Linked DNA regions of Yarrowia lipolytica. The protein of the gene in region 1 interacts with the protein of each later gene in a biochemical or structural test. Links are inferred from orthologs where the notes say so. Each region holds a gene or a part of one and is shown on either strand. Other genes may lie near its edges.

The links. The genes of interacting proteins can lie anywhere in the genome.
Region 2: of the proteins of YALI1_A14390g (region 1) and YALI1_E27104g, one has a biochemical effect on the other in vitro, tested with the Saccharomyces cerevisiae proteins (2 studies listed by BioGRID). The link is inferred for Yarrowia lipolytica from reciprocal best matches to the Saccharomyces cerevisiae genes NGG1 and RPD3.

The regions. Positions count from the first base shown.
Region 1 is NC_090770.1:1,435,488-1,442,240, reverse strand, and holds YALI1_A14390g (uncharacterized protein), read right to left. Parts: upstream 3,232-6,753; coding exon 1,324-3,231; downstream 1-1,323. Other genes in the region: YALI1_A14414g (uncharacterized protein), read left to right, coding at 839-907; YALI1_A14377g (uncharacterized protein), read right to left, coding at 4,076-4,552; YALI1_A14368g (uncharacterized protein), read right to left, coding at 4,682-5,380; YALI1_A14345g (uncharacterized protein), read right to left, coding at 5,786-6,753. UniProt on the Saccharomyces cerevisiae protein: Component of the transcription coactivator SAGA complex. SAGA acts as a general cofactor required for essentially all RNA polymerase II transcription. At the promoters, SAGA is required for transcription pre-initiation complex (PIC) recruitment.
Region 2 is NC_090774.1:2,706,902-2,713,283, reverse strand, and holds YALI1_E27104g (uncharacterized protein), read left to right. Parts: upstream 1-2,891; coding exon 2,892-4,268; downstream 4,269-6,382. Other genes in the region: YALI1_E27144g (uncharacterized protein), read left to right, coding at 1-651; YALI1_E27113g (uncharacterized protein), read right to left, coding at 913-2,010; YALI1_E27077g (uncharacterized protein), read right to left, coding at 4,491-5,663; YALI1_E27076g (uncharacterized protein), read left to right, coding at 5,679-6,254. UniProt on the Saccharomyces cerevisiae protein: Catalytic component of the RPD3 histone deacetylase (HDAC) complexes RPD3C(L) and RPD3C(S) responsible for the deacetylation of lysine residues on the N-terminal part of the core histones (H2A, H2B, H3 and H4).

The DNA of each region.
Region 1 (6,753 bases):
CCGACATGACCTTGCGTGACAAACGCATTTTGATCTGTCCTGCAAATGCAGCTGCTATGCGCGGTTTAGCAATGCCGGTTAGAGCGAAAGAACGGGTCACGTGGAGGTTGTCATATTATTTCGTCACGTGAGATTTGTACTGGTGGTCACGAGATTTGACAAACCTCCTACGCTTTTTATTCGGCGATTATGCCGTGATGCTTTAGGAGTTGATGTGATGCAGAGTGAGCAGAGTGAGCAGAGTGAGAAGAGTTAGCAGAGTGAGCATGGTTTACGGGAAAGCAAAGTGTGGGTGTTGTATGTTGCAATGTGGGTGTCTTATATGATGGATTTGAGGTACAAGAATGTTTGTTTCGGGCGCGAGTACTTTCTGTACGGTGGTTGTACTGGTATCACGGATCTGACGGTATTGTATGTTGTTGTCTTGTAGTGAGATAAGTGACATTCTGTTAAGAGATGGTTTTGAATGACTGACTGACAAATACTTATATCTTCTTTTATTTCACTCACTTTTACTTTTCAACTCATTCTTTACTCTTTCACTCACTCTTCACTCTTCCACCCACTCTTCACTCTTCCACTCTTCCACTCTTTCACTCCCACTCCCACTCCCACTCTCGCTCACCATTCAGCCCATTCTTCCTACACTCTTCCTTTCAAAGAATGCCACAATCAGATAGAGTGGCTATGACGACTCATTGTCTCCAGGAATGATACTAGACATTCAACATGGATTCAAACCACCCAGACTACCCGTGACCACCGCTAGTGTCTCCATGTTTCGCGCCTAACCCCGCTCGCCACTCCACTACGGCCACCAAGTTACTGCTTACCTCAGTCGTCGCTTGATCACCGTCTGTCAGTCACCCAGCAAAAGCAGTTGTCTCCGTACAATAATGGAGTTTAGAACAGGGCTGGACATTCCGCATGGTTACTGTGAGCCAGAGGATGGTTACAGCTACAGCAGGGTTAAACCGTGGCTACAAGGGCTTCTTACCGGGCACATGTCGGAAATCTCCTTGTGAATGTTTCAAGTCTGCCACTACAAGTACATTTCTGTACAGTATGTACTGTATGTCGTACATTCTGTACGAACTGCTGGCACAATGTTCGCCTCGGACCTCTGTTTGTCTCTTGTCTTGAAACCCCTCAGACCTCAGAACACACTACAATATAAGTACGCTGACCCTCTACGCGACGCAACTGCCATCTGTCACCACCTCAATTGTCACCATCCCATCCATTCTATTATATACTATATGGGGCGGCAATAGCCACCCTTTTCCCAGCACCCACATCTGCGTCTTACTGCACATCAGCGTCTTACTGCACAAACATGGAGTCGTCAAACTCGCCTCCGTCACTCTCATCATCACTGCCCTCAAGATCCTTAAACACAGACACAGACGGCACTCGTTTCATGTCGTGTGGAGATGACGAAAACACAGGCCCAATCTTGTCGATCCACCGGTTTCGCTTGTCCAGCAGCACTCGAAGACCGGGCCGCTCCTGAGGTACAGCGGTGCCATTGTTGTTCTGCTGCTTCTTCTTTTTCGACTTGGGGTTGCGGATCCGCTTGAGGTAGGCCTGGTCCACCTGCTTGTCCAGGTCCTCCAGAATCTGCCGGAATTCCTGGTACGCCATCTGCTCCTTGACGATGGGCAGTAGGATACGTTTGCGTGCCTGGTTGGTCTTGTGCACCTGGCGCAGCTTCTTCTGCAGCACGCGCATCTGCTGGCAGATTTCGTCGTCCTCCCGGCCGTGCACCCAGTCGATTTCCAGGTCCTCGTTGTTCTCGTCGTCGTCAAGATCGTCCATGAGGTCCATCTCGTCGTCGCGCTTGGAGAACCGCTTGCCCTGCTTCTTTTTGTTCACGTCCATGATTCCCACGTACGTAAACTCGCGCTTGAGCCGCTGCTCCAGCGTCAGATAGTCACCCTTGGCTGTCGCCACCTTCCAGCTGGGGTTGATTAGCGGGCTTTGTGGAGGCGAAGACGACACTGCGGCGGCAGGGGTCGCGCTGTTCTCGTCGTCCTTAGGCTCCTCCTTGATTTCCTTTTTGTTGGGGTCCGGGAGCAGCGCAGACAGCAGACGCGACGCCAGAGGGCCGCAACTAATGTCCGAGCTCTCCAGCGCGTCGTCCACCAGATCCTCGCTCTTGCCCTTGGGCTCAATCTCCGCGAGCTCCGTCTTTGGGGGCGGCGAGAACCGGGACGCTGAGGCTGCGTTGCCAGCAGCAATACCTGCCTCGGCGTCTTCAGCAGCCCACGCGTCGGTGTAGGGGGGACCCAAAGGGGGCACGAGGTACGGTGAGATCTCTGCATCCTTGCCCGTGGCGTAAAGCGGAGCACCCGTGGCTCCAAGCGGGATGGACTGTTGGAGGAGCACGGACACGTCTTCCTCGGAAAAGGGTCGAAAGTAGGGCTCGATCGCAGTCGCAAAGGTCGAAAACTGCACCTGGTTGGGCGGCTTGGCCCGAGTGTAGTCTTGGTCCGGGATTGGGCCGGCCAACTGGTCCTTTAGGTCCGTGGTAGGGTAAGAGGCGACTCCATATTTCAGCTTGAGAGCCTCCTCTCCGGTGTAAGGGATGGTTTTTTCGTCGTAGAGCTTGAGCACCGACAGGGGCAGCGTCTGGGAGTCGACAAACTCGGACTTTGGGTTCTTTTCATACTCCTTGGGGGAGCCCTCTCCGGGGGGAGAGGTTTGGATCGTGGTTAGATCGCTATCAATGTTGAGTTTGACCGGTTCAATCTTCTTTTCCGCGGGTAGTTCGTCCACATCTTCCATTTTGATGTCCTTATTCTCGGTCTGAGAAGACCCTCCAGAAGCTGCTGCTGCTGTTTTCGACGAGGTTGACGACGAGCTGCTGCTCTGCTTGGGTCCTTTTCCCTTGCCCTTTCCGACACCCTTACCTCCGCTCTTGCCTCCCTTTCGCTCCCGGCGTCCCACCGTTTCGTCGATGGCCCGAATCACGGCCTTGTGGTTTTCCAGCACGCCACGGGTCCTCTGTCGAATCTGCCGCAACTCGTTCTGGAGCTCCACCAGCCCGTTCACAGAAACACGTGCATCTTCCGAAAGATCGATCCCATTGGTTTTGAGAAACGAGTTGGGTAACGTCAGCGCGTTCTGTAGCCGTCTCAGCAGCAGCGCGTCTGTGGGCGGCGGTGATGTGGACTTGGATTCCGGCTCCGCAGACGAAACCGCATGAGATCTTGATCGTCGACTGGCCATGTTGCGTGGCGAGATGAGTTATTATTTGTTTGTTGGTGTGGTTTTTTTCTCCGCCCGTTTCCTCTCGCTGTGGCTGCTTGGTCTTGTCGTCGATTTCGCTGTGTCGCCTGAAAGATTGTGTGTCTCGTCACGGCCTGTTTTTTTTTGAATTTTTCCTCCTCGTCAAGCACGCCGTTTTTTCCAAACCTCGTGATCGATGGGGCGCCGCCTCCTCCCAAAACCTGTGGGTTAGGGTTCCGTGAGAAGGTTGTGGAAGTTGAGGCCATCTCGGATATATACGCTACCAGTGGCGTATTAAACTCTATTGACTGCGGGGAAATGAGGGGGCGAAGGGATACCATTGTTCTAGCCACTCGTAAGATCATCTTCGGGCGTTGTTTTCGCCGGATTTGTGTCCTCCAAAGTCGTAGCGTTTCGTAGTTGATTGTACTATTGTGATTACTAATCGCATAAAGTTTGCGTTTTGCGGCCGGGTAACTGAATTTGACCACGCCATACTTCAACCTTCTTTTTGAGGGGTTCATGATAGGGTTAGGGTTGGGGTACAGGGTACAGGGTAAGGGGTACGGTAGTTTGTATTGTACGTTTACACCTCCGTTGAATGGTGATAATAAGTGATGACAGTTATGAACTTTGGCTGAGATGGAATAAGTCGGTGTTTTGACGGGCTGAAAGTGGTTGTTGTGTAACGGTTGTAGTATTGGAAGAGTATGGAGATGAAGAGTATTGAGAAGTAGGGTATCTTCGGAGAGTGGATTTCAGTGGATCAGTGAACGTTAGGTTTGGAGTTCTCCGATGTTTTGTTGGTTGTCGGAAGTATTTCCCAATATTACTGTTTTCGTTGTCAGTAGTAGCGGCTATTCTGGGTTAGTACGGAGTCGGCAGATGTATGGATGTGAGCAAGAAGGTGAATTAGGGTGAATAAGAGGTGAGTGATATCTTTCACGTTTTCCGACTGACGAATCTTGAAGTTCAATTGACCTGGTATATTGTACAAGTACAAGTACAAGTACTTGTAAAATAGTCGTTCCATGACGTGCTTGAACCTGCTCACTGACTGGAATTCTCTCTGCTCGGTTTGACGTGATCCAGTTATGTCCATCCAATTCAGAAGACATAAGATGTTATTGGTCAAAGAACAGGTTCGAGTGAAAATGGTGGAAGATTGAAACGAGGAGATGATGGAATTGATTTGAATTCTGGTCACTTTCGTGCTTGTGATTGTGCTCATATCTGTTCCTGTACTTGTAGAGAAGTAACAGGCCTTTGAAACATTCTGGATGAATGAACACTCAACTTGTCCATTACTTGTAGCTAACATACCTCAATCTAGTTCACAGATGCCTCATATACGCCCTGATAATGCGGTTTGGTGGACCCACACGTATGACCATGCCTCTTGAGAACGGCTCCTCCCACCACTGGCGAGGGTCCTATCACCACTGAAACACTACTCACGACAACCTCCGCCAAACCGCCTCACGGGCTCCTCCCGAATACTAGCGAGGGTCCCATTTGGCGGAGTGGAGACCAACATCATGTCGTAATGCATCTTCTCGATTTCGGCGTCCTTTTGATACAACAGGTTCGTGAGCTGCTCCAAAACCGCCTCCTGGTTCTCAATCACTACTCGCATCTCCTGCACCAGCTGATGGTGGAAGTCCGTGAGCATGTATTTTGGCGGCTGTTCTTCAAGGGCCTTTTTCTTCTCGTCTTCTCTGATGGCCTTGCGTCGTTTGCGTGCCGTGGGGCCAAACTTGTTGCGAATCTTGGCTGCCAGTCTGTCGGCCCGTGACGGGCCAATGTTCCACTTGCCGTACAGAATCTCGCGCTGGTGGCGGATCACGGGCCGGTTGGGGTTCTCGGGAGGCAGTCGCGCGTCGAGCTGCGGATCGTTGTGCACTTCAAGCAGCTCGTTGAGAGACATGACCTGCGGCGGCTGGTTGAGGCCCGAGTTGGACGGGTTGACGTTGGCCGCGTTGATGGTGGTGGCATTGGCCAGCGGGCTGGGTGGAGCTGCTGATCTCCGTGAGCCGTTGCCAACAAAGGTGCCGAGAGCATCAATAACATGGGGACCACGGGGAGCCGTGGAGCTATTGAGCAAACAAGGTCCAGAGCCATTCATGGTAAGTGGCGAATGAGTGGACATTAGAGAGAGGCTGGCGTTAGAGTAATCACAGACAAAAACCAAGAGAGCAGAAACCGAGCTGAGTTGAAAAGTGGGGACATTTTCAGCTCCACTTTTCGGCTCCACCCGGTATCTTCATTCACATGACCAAAACGTCAACACCAGCTGTCTGAAGAGGGTAAACATGAACGAGTACAAGTATACATAGCACGTTGATACCCCATCGTCAACAAGTACATACAGTATTGCACTCGCATATACTCCACCACTACAACTCCATGTTTGTCTAATAATAATACCACAAAATTTTATACACTACATAGCCCTGTCTTCCCTAGATTGCGTGCAAACGGAGCAGGCTTCATCCAGACATCTAATGTCTTTGTTAACTGCCAGACACCCGTCCGGCCTCGCGACCGCCCAGGATTATCTGTTGACAGGAAAGTATCGCCAGATTCGAGCCTTGCAATCTCCACTTCCAGTAGCAAACAACCCGCCCATGGGACTAGGAGCCACACTGATGACCGAATTTCGATGACCCTGCAGCATGAGTTGCACCTGGCCCGTTCGAGGGTCCCAGAATTGCACACCCCGGTCCTTGGAGCCGGAAAGAATCCACTGCCCATCCAGCGTGCTGGCCACACTCAGAACAAAGTCCTTGTGTCCACACAGCGTCTTGACGCAGACGCCTCCTCGCTGGTTGGCCTGAATGCCTCGAGGAGCCTGCAGCTCCCACAGCTTGATCGTCTTGTCCAGCGAGCCGGAAACAAGATCCATACCGTTGGGGGTGAAAGCTACACTATAGACGGAGTCCTTGTGTCCATCAGGGGCCTCCAGACGCTCAACCAGGAAACCGGTAGAGGTGTCCCAGATTCGCACAGACTTGTCCAAGCTGCCTGCAGCCACAAACTTGCCGTCGGGCGAGATGGCCACCGTGGTGACGCCGTCCTCGATCGACAGGGTTAGAGTACACTGGCCGCTCTCAATATCCCACATTCGGACTGTGCGGTCGCCAGAGCCAGAGGCAATGTGTCGGCCGTTTCGCGAAAAGTCCAGCGAGTAAATGTCCTGCTCGTGGCCAGTGAACACGTGCCGTATGCTCTGAGATTTAATGTCCCACACTCGGATCTGCTTGTCCTCGGCGCCGGTGGCCAGGTACTTACCGTCCGGCGAGAAACACACGGACCGGATGTACAGGTCGCCTTCTCGGTCGACCGAGTCGTCCTGCAGCCGGCAGATGAGCTGGCCAGTCTGCACGTCGAAAATCTGGGCAGATCGGTTACAGCCAGTGGCAATGTACTTGCCGTCAGCGGAGAACCGCACACAGCACACTACAGAGTTGTGGTCCAGCGACTGCACAATATCCACGTCCAGCAGCCGTGGTGCTCGCTGGT
Region 2 (6,382 bases), on another chromosome or scaffold:
TCTGCCACCGTCGGTAAGCCCCAGCTCATCAACAAGGTGTCCGACATTGTTCGACGAGAGGTGGCCATGAGCGGCTGGGCCGAGGTGATGCCTCTGACCCTGTGCTCGCACGACGAGAACTTTGCCTTCCTCAACCGAAAGGACGAGGGCCAGGCCGTGCACCTTGCCAACCCCAAGACACAGGAGTACCAGGTGATCCGAACCTCGCTTCTCCCCGGTATTCTCAAGACTATCAGAGAGAACAAGAAGCACTCGCTGCCCATTAAGGTGTTTGAGACCGGTGATGTTGTTTTCAAGGACGAGTCCCTCGAGCGAAAGTCGTACAACCAGCGAAACTTCGGAGCCGTCTACTCCGGAAAGACCTCCGGTTTCGAGACTGTGCACGGCCTTCTTGGCCGACTGATGCAGATGCTGCGAGTTTCGTGGATCGAGAACCCCAAGGAGTCCACTTCCCGAGGCTACTGGATCGAGGAGTCGCACTCTGAGACCTTCTTCCCCGGCCGAGGCGCCACCATCCACCTGCGAACCAAGGACGGAGCCGAGGCCAAGGTAATTGGAGAGATGGGCATTCTGCATCCCAATGTCCTGGCCAAGTTTGAGATTCCTTATGCTTCCTCCAGCATCGAGTTCAACATTGAACCTTTCATGTAGGGGGAGTATAGAGAGTAATAGATTATGATTGATGTACAGATTCACAAACAGACGAACCAAGCGAGGAAGGGGTGATAATCCAACCGAGTGTAGATGTGAGCGCATATGAGTCGTTGGTAGCTGGGGGGAAACCTACGATGTGCTACGATAGGTCATTATAAGGTGGTATAGAGATGTATTAAATAGCTATGTTACATTTTATTTGCTTCGCTTTGTCCAGCCTTGATTTTGGTGAAGACTGCAATTCTTTTCCGTTATGGTCTAGTTCTTCTTCATCTTCATCCAGGCCTCGAAGCCAATACCGCCAAAGACAGCGGCTACACCAGCCCACTGGCCGAGAGTCAGCCGGTGGTTGAACCAGACAACGGACAGCAGCATGGAAAACATCTTTCGGGTCACATTGACGGTCACCAGCACGACAGAACCAAACTTCTCGAGGGTCTGGAAGATGAAGACCTGGCCCACAGCTCCACAGAGACCGAACAGAACGATGTCTCGCATGATTTCGGGATGCAGTCGGATGAAAGCGATCGCAGTATCTAGCTGAGGACGAGAGAAGGTCAGCAGAGACACAGTGGTGAAAACACCAGTGAGCAGGTTGAGGCCACACATAACATGGGGCCCTGTAATATCTGCATTCTTTCGGAAGATTTGGTCCTGGGTGGAGTTGGTCAGTCCGTCAAGCAGCATACTAATACCAAGAAGACCCAGACCGTAGAGCTGGTGCTCAGATCCGGCACCAGAGGCCTTCTTCGGAGCAGCATGGAAGATGGTGAACATGGAGACACCAATTGTTACAAGAACAACCACAGCGTACTTGTAGGCCGGGAACTTGCGTCGGTAAAGAGTCACTTGTAGTGCCATGAGTGGGATCAGCTTGCAACTCTTGGCCAGAATGGAGGTAAGGTAGTCGACGTATTTGAGAGCAGTGTAGGACAAGGGAGAGGCCAAAGACTGACTGAGAGCCACCAACGACAGCTGTTTGAGTGTGTACATGCTGTCGAAGACCGTGGTGTTCTTCTTTAGACCCTTGGCTGCTCTGCGGCTCTGTTTATACTGCAGGTAGGCGTATCCCACTGCAGCGGCCAGAAACGACTGGACTGTGTTGATGACGAGAGATGCTCGGAAGATTTTGTTGTCGGGACCGTATGGTGTGGTGGCAATTCGTTCCTGGAGCACTGCCCACGTCAGAAACGACGCGTAGATGCCCGAGACACATATGATGAGATCGATGATGTGTCCCTTGGTTGATTTGGTGGTTTCGGGTTTCTTTTCGGTAAGTTCAACGGTCTCTGTGACCTCGATATTTTCACTCAGATCTGCGACGGCAGCCTGGTTTCTTTTTCTGAGCTCTGACATGCTTTTTCAGGTTGTAAGAGGCCGGTGGGGAGTATGGAGAGTATGAGTACATGTACTTACGTGTTCTGCATGATCTTGCATGGAGAAGTGATGTAACCGACACCTAATGGGGAATGAGCACGTGACGGTGCTTGGAGTTGGAGATTTGGGCGATATTTTCAAGGGTGGTTCAAGACCTTGCGTGGCATTTATGGGACTGGTTATGCTCCATGAGAACGGGGATGGTGACTATGATCGTTGTTTAGCCTGACACTTGGGACATGATACTAATTATACTTGTACAGTAGTTGGGAAACACTGTGAAATTTCAAGCACACACATTTCAGTACAGTACTTGAAAAAATTACAGAGAGGAGATATGAGAAGGTGTGTGTAAATGATTTGATCTCTTTCTACCCAACGACATACTCAGTTTGTTCTTGAGAGCCAGCCACCCCATCTTTTATCCCAATTTCAGCACCGGAGCACTTCTTTTTCAGCGCTTTCCACTTCTCTTCTTACATACAGTCATCGTTGGGAGAGTTGGGAGAGGCTATTGTTTGGCAGTGTGTGAGTGGTAATTGAGCATCATACAAGTATGTTCAGAGTACAATGAAAAAGAGTCCCTCGGCCGGCCGCATTTTGTGCAAAGACATATTTTCGACACATGAAATAGTATATAAAGACCCGATTTCCCCCCTCATGCACCCCACCAGTTTGGCTACAGTGACAGGAGAGTGTTTGCCACCTTTCACTTGCGCCCATAATCCACCAACCTCACACATCCTCGCTCGGGTTTGACTTTTGCTCTGCATATTTTCTGTAACTGGGCTTGTATAGCACACTCTCATCGTCATATAACCACCACCACCTCTTGCACCACACACCGCCATCACCAGACCATGGTATTTACGCAAGAGCCGTTTGACCCCATCACGGTCAAGCCCAACGAAAAAAAACGGGTGGCGTACTTCTACGACTCGGATGTCGGCAACTACGCCTACGGCGCCGGCCACCCCATGAAGCCCCACAGAATACGAATGGCCCACTCGCTCATCATGAACTACGGTCTCTACAAGCACATGGAGATCTACCGGGCCAAGCCTGCCACCAAGCAGGAAATGTGCCAGTTCCACACGGACGAGTACGTCGATTTCCTGTCGCGCGTCACTCCGGACAACATGGAGCACTTTGCTAAGGAGCAGGCAAAGTTCAACGTCGGAGACGATTGTCCCGTTTTCGACGGTCTGTTTGAATTCTGCGGAATTTCCGGCGGAGGATCTATGGAGGGAGCCGCCCGGCTTAACAGAGGCAAGTGTGATATTGCCATCAACTGGGCCGGAGGACTCCATCACGCAAAGAAATCCGAGGCGTCCGGATTCTGCTACCTCAACGACATTGTGCTGGGCATCATCGAGCTGCTCAGATACCACCCCCGAGTCCTGTACATTGATATCGACGTGCACCACGGAGACGGAGTTGAGGAGGCTTTTTACACCACGGACCGAGTCATGACGTGCTCGTTCCACAAGTACGGAGAGTTTTTCCCCGGTACAGGTGAGCTGCGGGACATCGGAGCCGGAAAGGGCAAAAACTACGCAGTCAACTTCCCGTTGCGAGACGGAATCGACGACACAAACTACAAAAACGTGTTCCAGCCCGTCATCAAGGCCATCATGGAGTGGTACCAGCCCACTGTCGTTGTCCTGCAATGCGGTGGTGACTCGCTGTCGGGTGACCGTCTTGGATGTTTCAACCTGTCCATGCAGGGTCATGCCAACTGCGTCAACTACGTCAAGTCCTTTGGTTTGCCGGTTCTGGTGGTCGGAGGAGGAGGCTACACAATGCGAAATGTGTCAAGGACGTGGACTTTTGAGACCGGTCTGCTTCTCAACAAGATGGTGGGCCCGGATATCCCCTACAACGATTACTACGAATACTACGGACCCGACTATAAGCTCGAGGTGCGACCTTCTAACATGCAGAATGCCAACTCTCCCGAGTACCTGGACAAGATTCTCACCCAGGTGCTTGTCAACCTTGGTCGAACCAAGTTTGCACCTTCTGTGCAGATGACCGATGTGCCCCGAGACGCTCCTGATGATGGAGATGAAGAGGAGGACTCGGCCAAGGCCAAGGACACTAAGGGCGGCTCCCAGATGGCCATTGACGAGCAGATTGAGCACCCCAACGAGTTTTACGACGACGATAACCTCGAGGGTGGAGATGCCAAGGACATCAACAACTTCAAGGACAAGGATGTCGCCATGGAGGACTAATTTGTATTATATGTAGAAGAATAAATTTATTGTGACTAGCTATCAAACGTTGGACGGGCACATATCATATGATACTTGTATAGAAATAACACACAGGAGTATGGAGACATTAGTTCAAGACTTGTGGATGATGCGATAACATGTTTGTGTAGAAGATAAATTCAAACTAATACAGTATGGAGAATGCAATGGTTGACTATCAAAGTCGACTCTGTTTTCTTTTCAAATGCCAATCAAACCTGTACCCACCTTGTTTCTGTAGTCCTCATACTCCTGGCCAAAGAAGGAGACGAGAAACTGCTCTTCAAAGTCGATTCGTTCCCGGAAAAAGGCCCAGAGAACTACAAAGAAGGCCGCAAAGCCCACAGAGTTGAACAGCAGCATCTGAGTGCCCAAGGCCCAGTAGAAGAAGCCAAAGTAGGACGGGTGACGCAGCAGAGAGTAGATACCTGTGGTTACAAGTGTATGCTCCTGGGTCTTTCTCTGGACGATTCTGTGGGAGAAGTTTGTGGCTCCGTGGATCATTGCTAGCGAGCGAGCCAGCTGCCCAATGATCATTACCACGATTCCGCAGGCGCTGATGATACGCACATCGCTTCGGTTCTGTAGGTTGGGGAAGAAGTAGTACTCGATCAGCGACTCTGCGAGCGAAACAACATGCGCAATGTGGTAGGCTGCTCCATTTCGAAACAGGTAGCTCTCATAGGATACCTTGGGGGTGTTGTAGCGCGCTGTGATGTAGTATTCCAGAAAGTGGAAGAGAGCCAGAGAACCCAGGTAGAAGGGCAGTTGGTAGAAGTCGACGTAGAAGGCAGCTAGGAAACAGGAGCCCATGACAATTCCGAGTAACATTGCTGACAACGCAATCCAGTCCAGAGGATTGTCTGTAGGAAAGTAATCAGGCACGTGATCTGGGCGCAGTGATTCTCTGTGGATCTTGAATCTGCCTGAGGAGCCACTTGAAGCGATTGGCGTGTCGTAGACGAGGTCAGGAATTTGTTCCTGGTCAATATCTTGTGATTTCCTCTCTGTTTCCTTGATGATGGTGTCCCACACGTCTCCTCCTCCATCTTCATAGACCGTAGAGTCGATGGTAGGTTGGTCTTTGGGTGGAATCATCTTGTCGAGTAGTTGACTTGGTGTGGCGGTGAGGTTGCCGTCTGCGGTCGTGGCATGGTCCATTATATAGCTGTTGCGATTCTCCCCTCGCGCATATGTCGCTCTTTTTTTGTTTCCGTCTTGTGTCAGGATCTGATCCGAGAAGGGACAGCTCAATAGCTCTAGTACAATATCAGTGCAAGGCAAAGTTTCAGTATGCGCGACTCCCAACCTTGCACCACGCATACCAGAGCCGAGTGCTTGATATTGACGTTGCCTAATTAGCACACACCGCATTGCACCAAACACACAATGGCAACACCTCGACAGTCATTATCGGCCGACGAGGGCATGGTTTCGAGCACAGCACTGGAGCTGCTGCTGGCAGAAGTGGTCCCTGCAGCTCTCCGAGTGTCGCAAGAATTGACAGAGCCGGAAGAGGGCTCCAAAATGGCTCCGTTTGGATACTTGGTGGACTCGGAAAGCCACTTGGACAACGTGTACTTCCGGGTGGAGGGATACGGATACCGTGTGGGACGGGGCATCGCCGAGAGCTTCTCCAACGAACGACCACACTTTGCAGATACGCTGGACATGATGAAGTTCATCTGCAAAGACGTGTGGCTGTTGCTGTACAACAAGCAGGTGGACCATCTCAAAACCAACCACAGAGGCACGTTTGTGTTTGTGGAGAACCAATTTCGAGGCTGTCAACGCATGAGTGCCAAGGGAGGCCAGGTCGAGACCATGAAGGGGGCTACTCCGTACCTGTGGTTCCCCGTGGGTGTCATTAGAGGAGTTCTGGCCGCTCTGGGAATCCAGGCCGACGTGACGTTTGAGACCACTCAGTTGCCGGTGGTCTACTTCAACATTCACGTTGTGCAGTGATACAATATGGGTACAAGTTAACAAGGGTATAAGCATGGGACGGTAACTATACATTGAATGGAAAGAAAGCTATAAGTTATAGACAAGCAAGGCACGATAGATAAATATGTGATTAGACCTTAGACGTA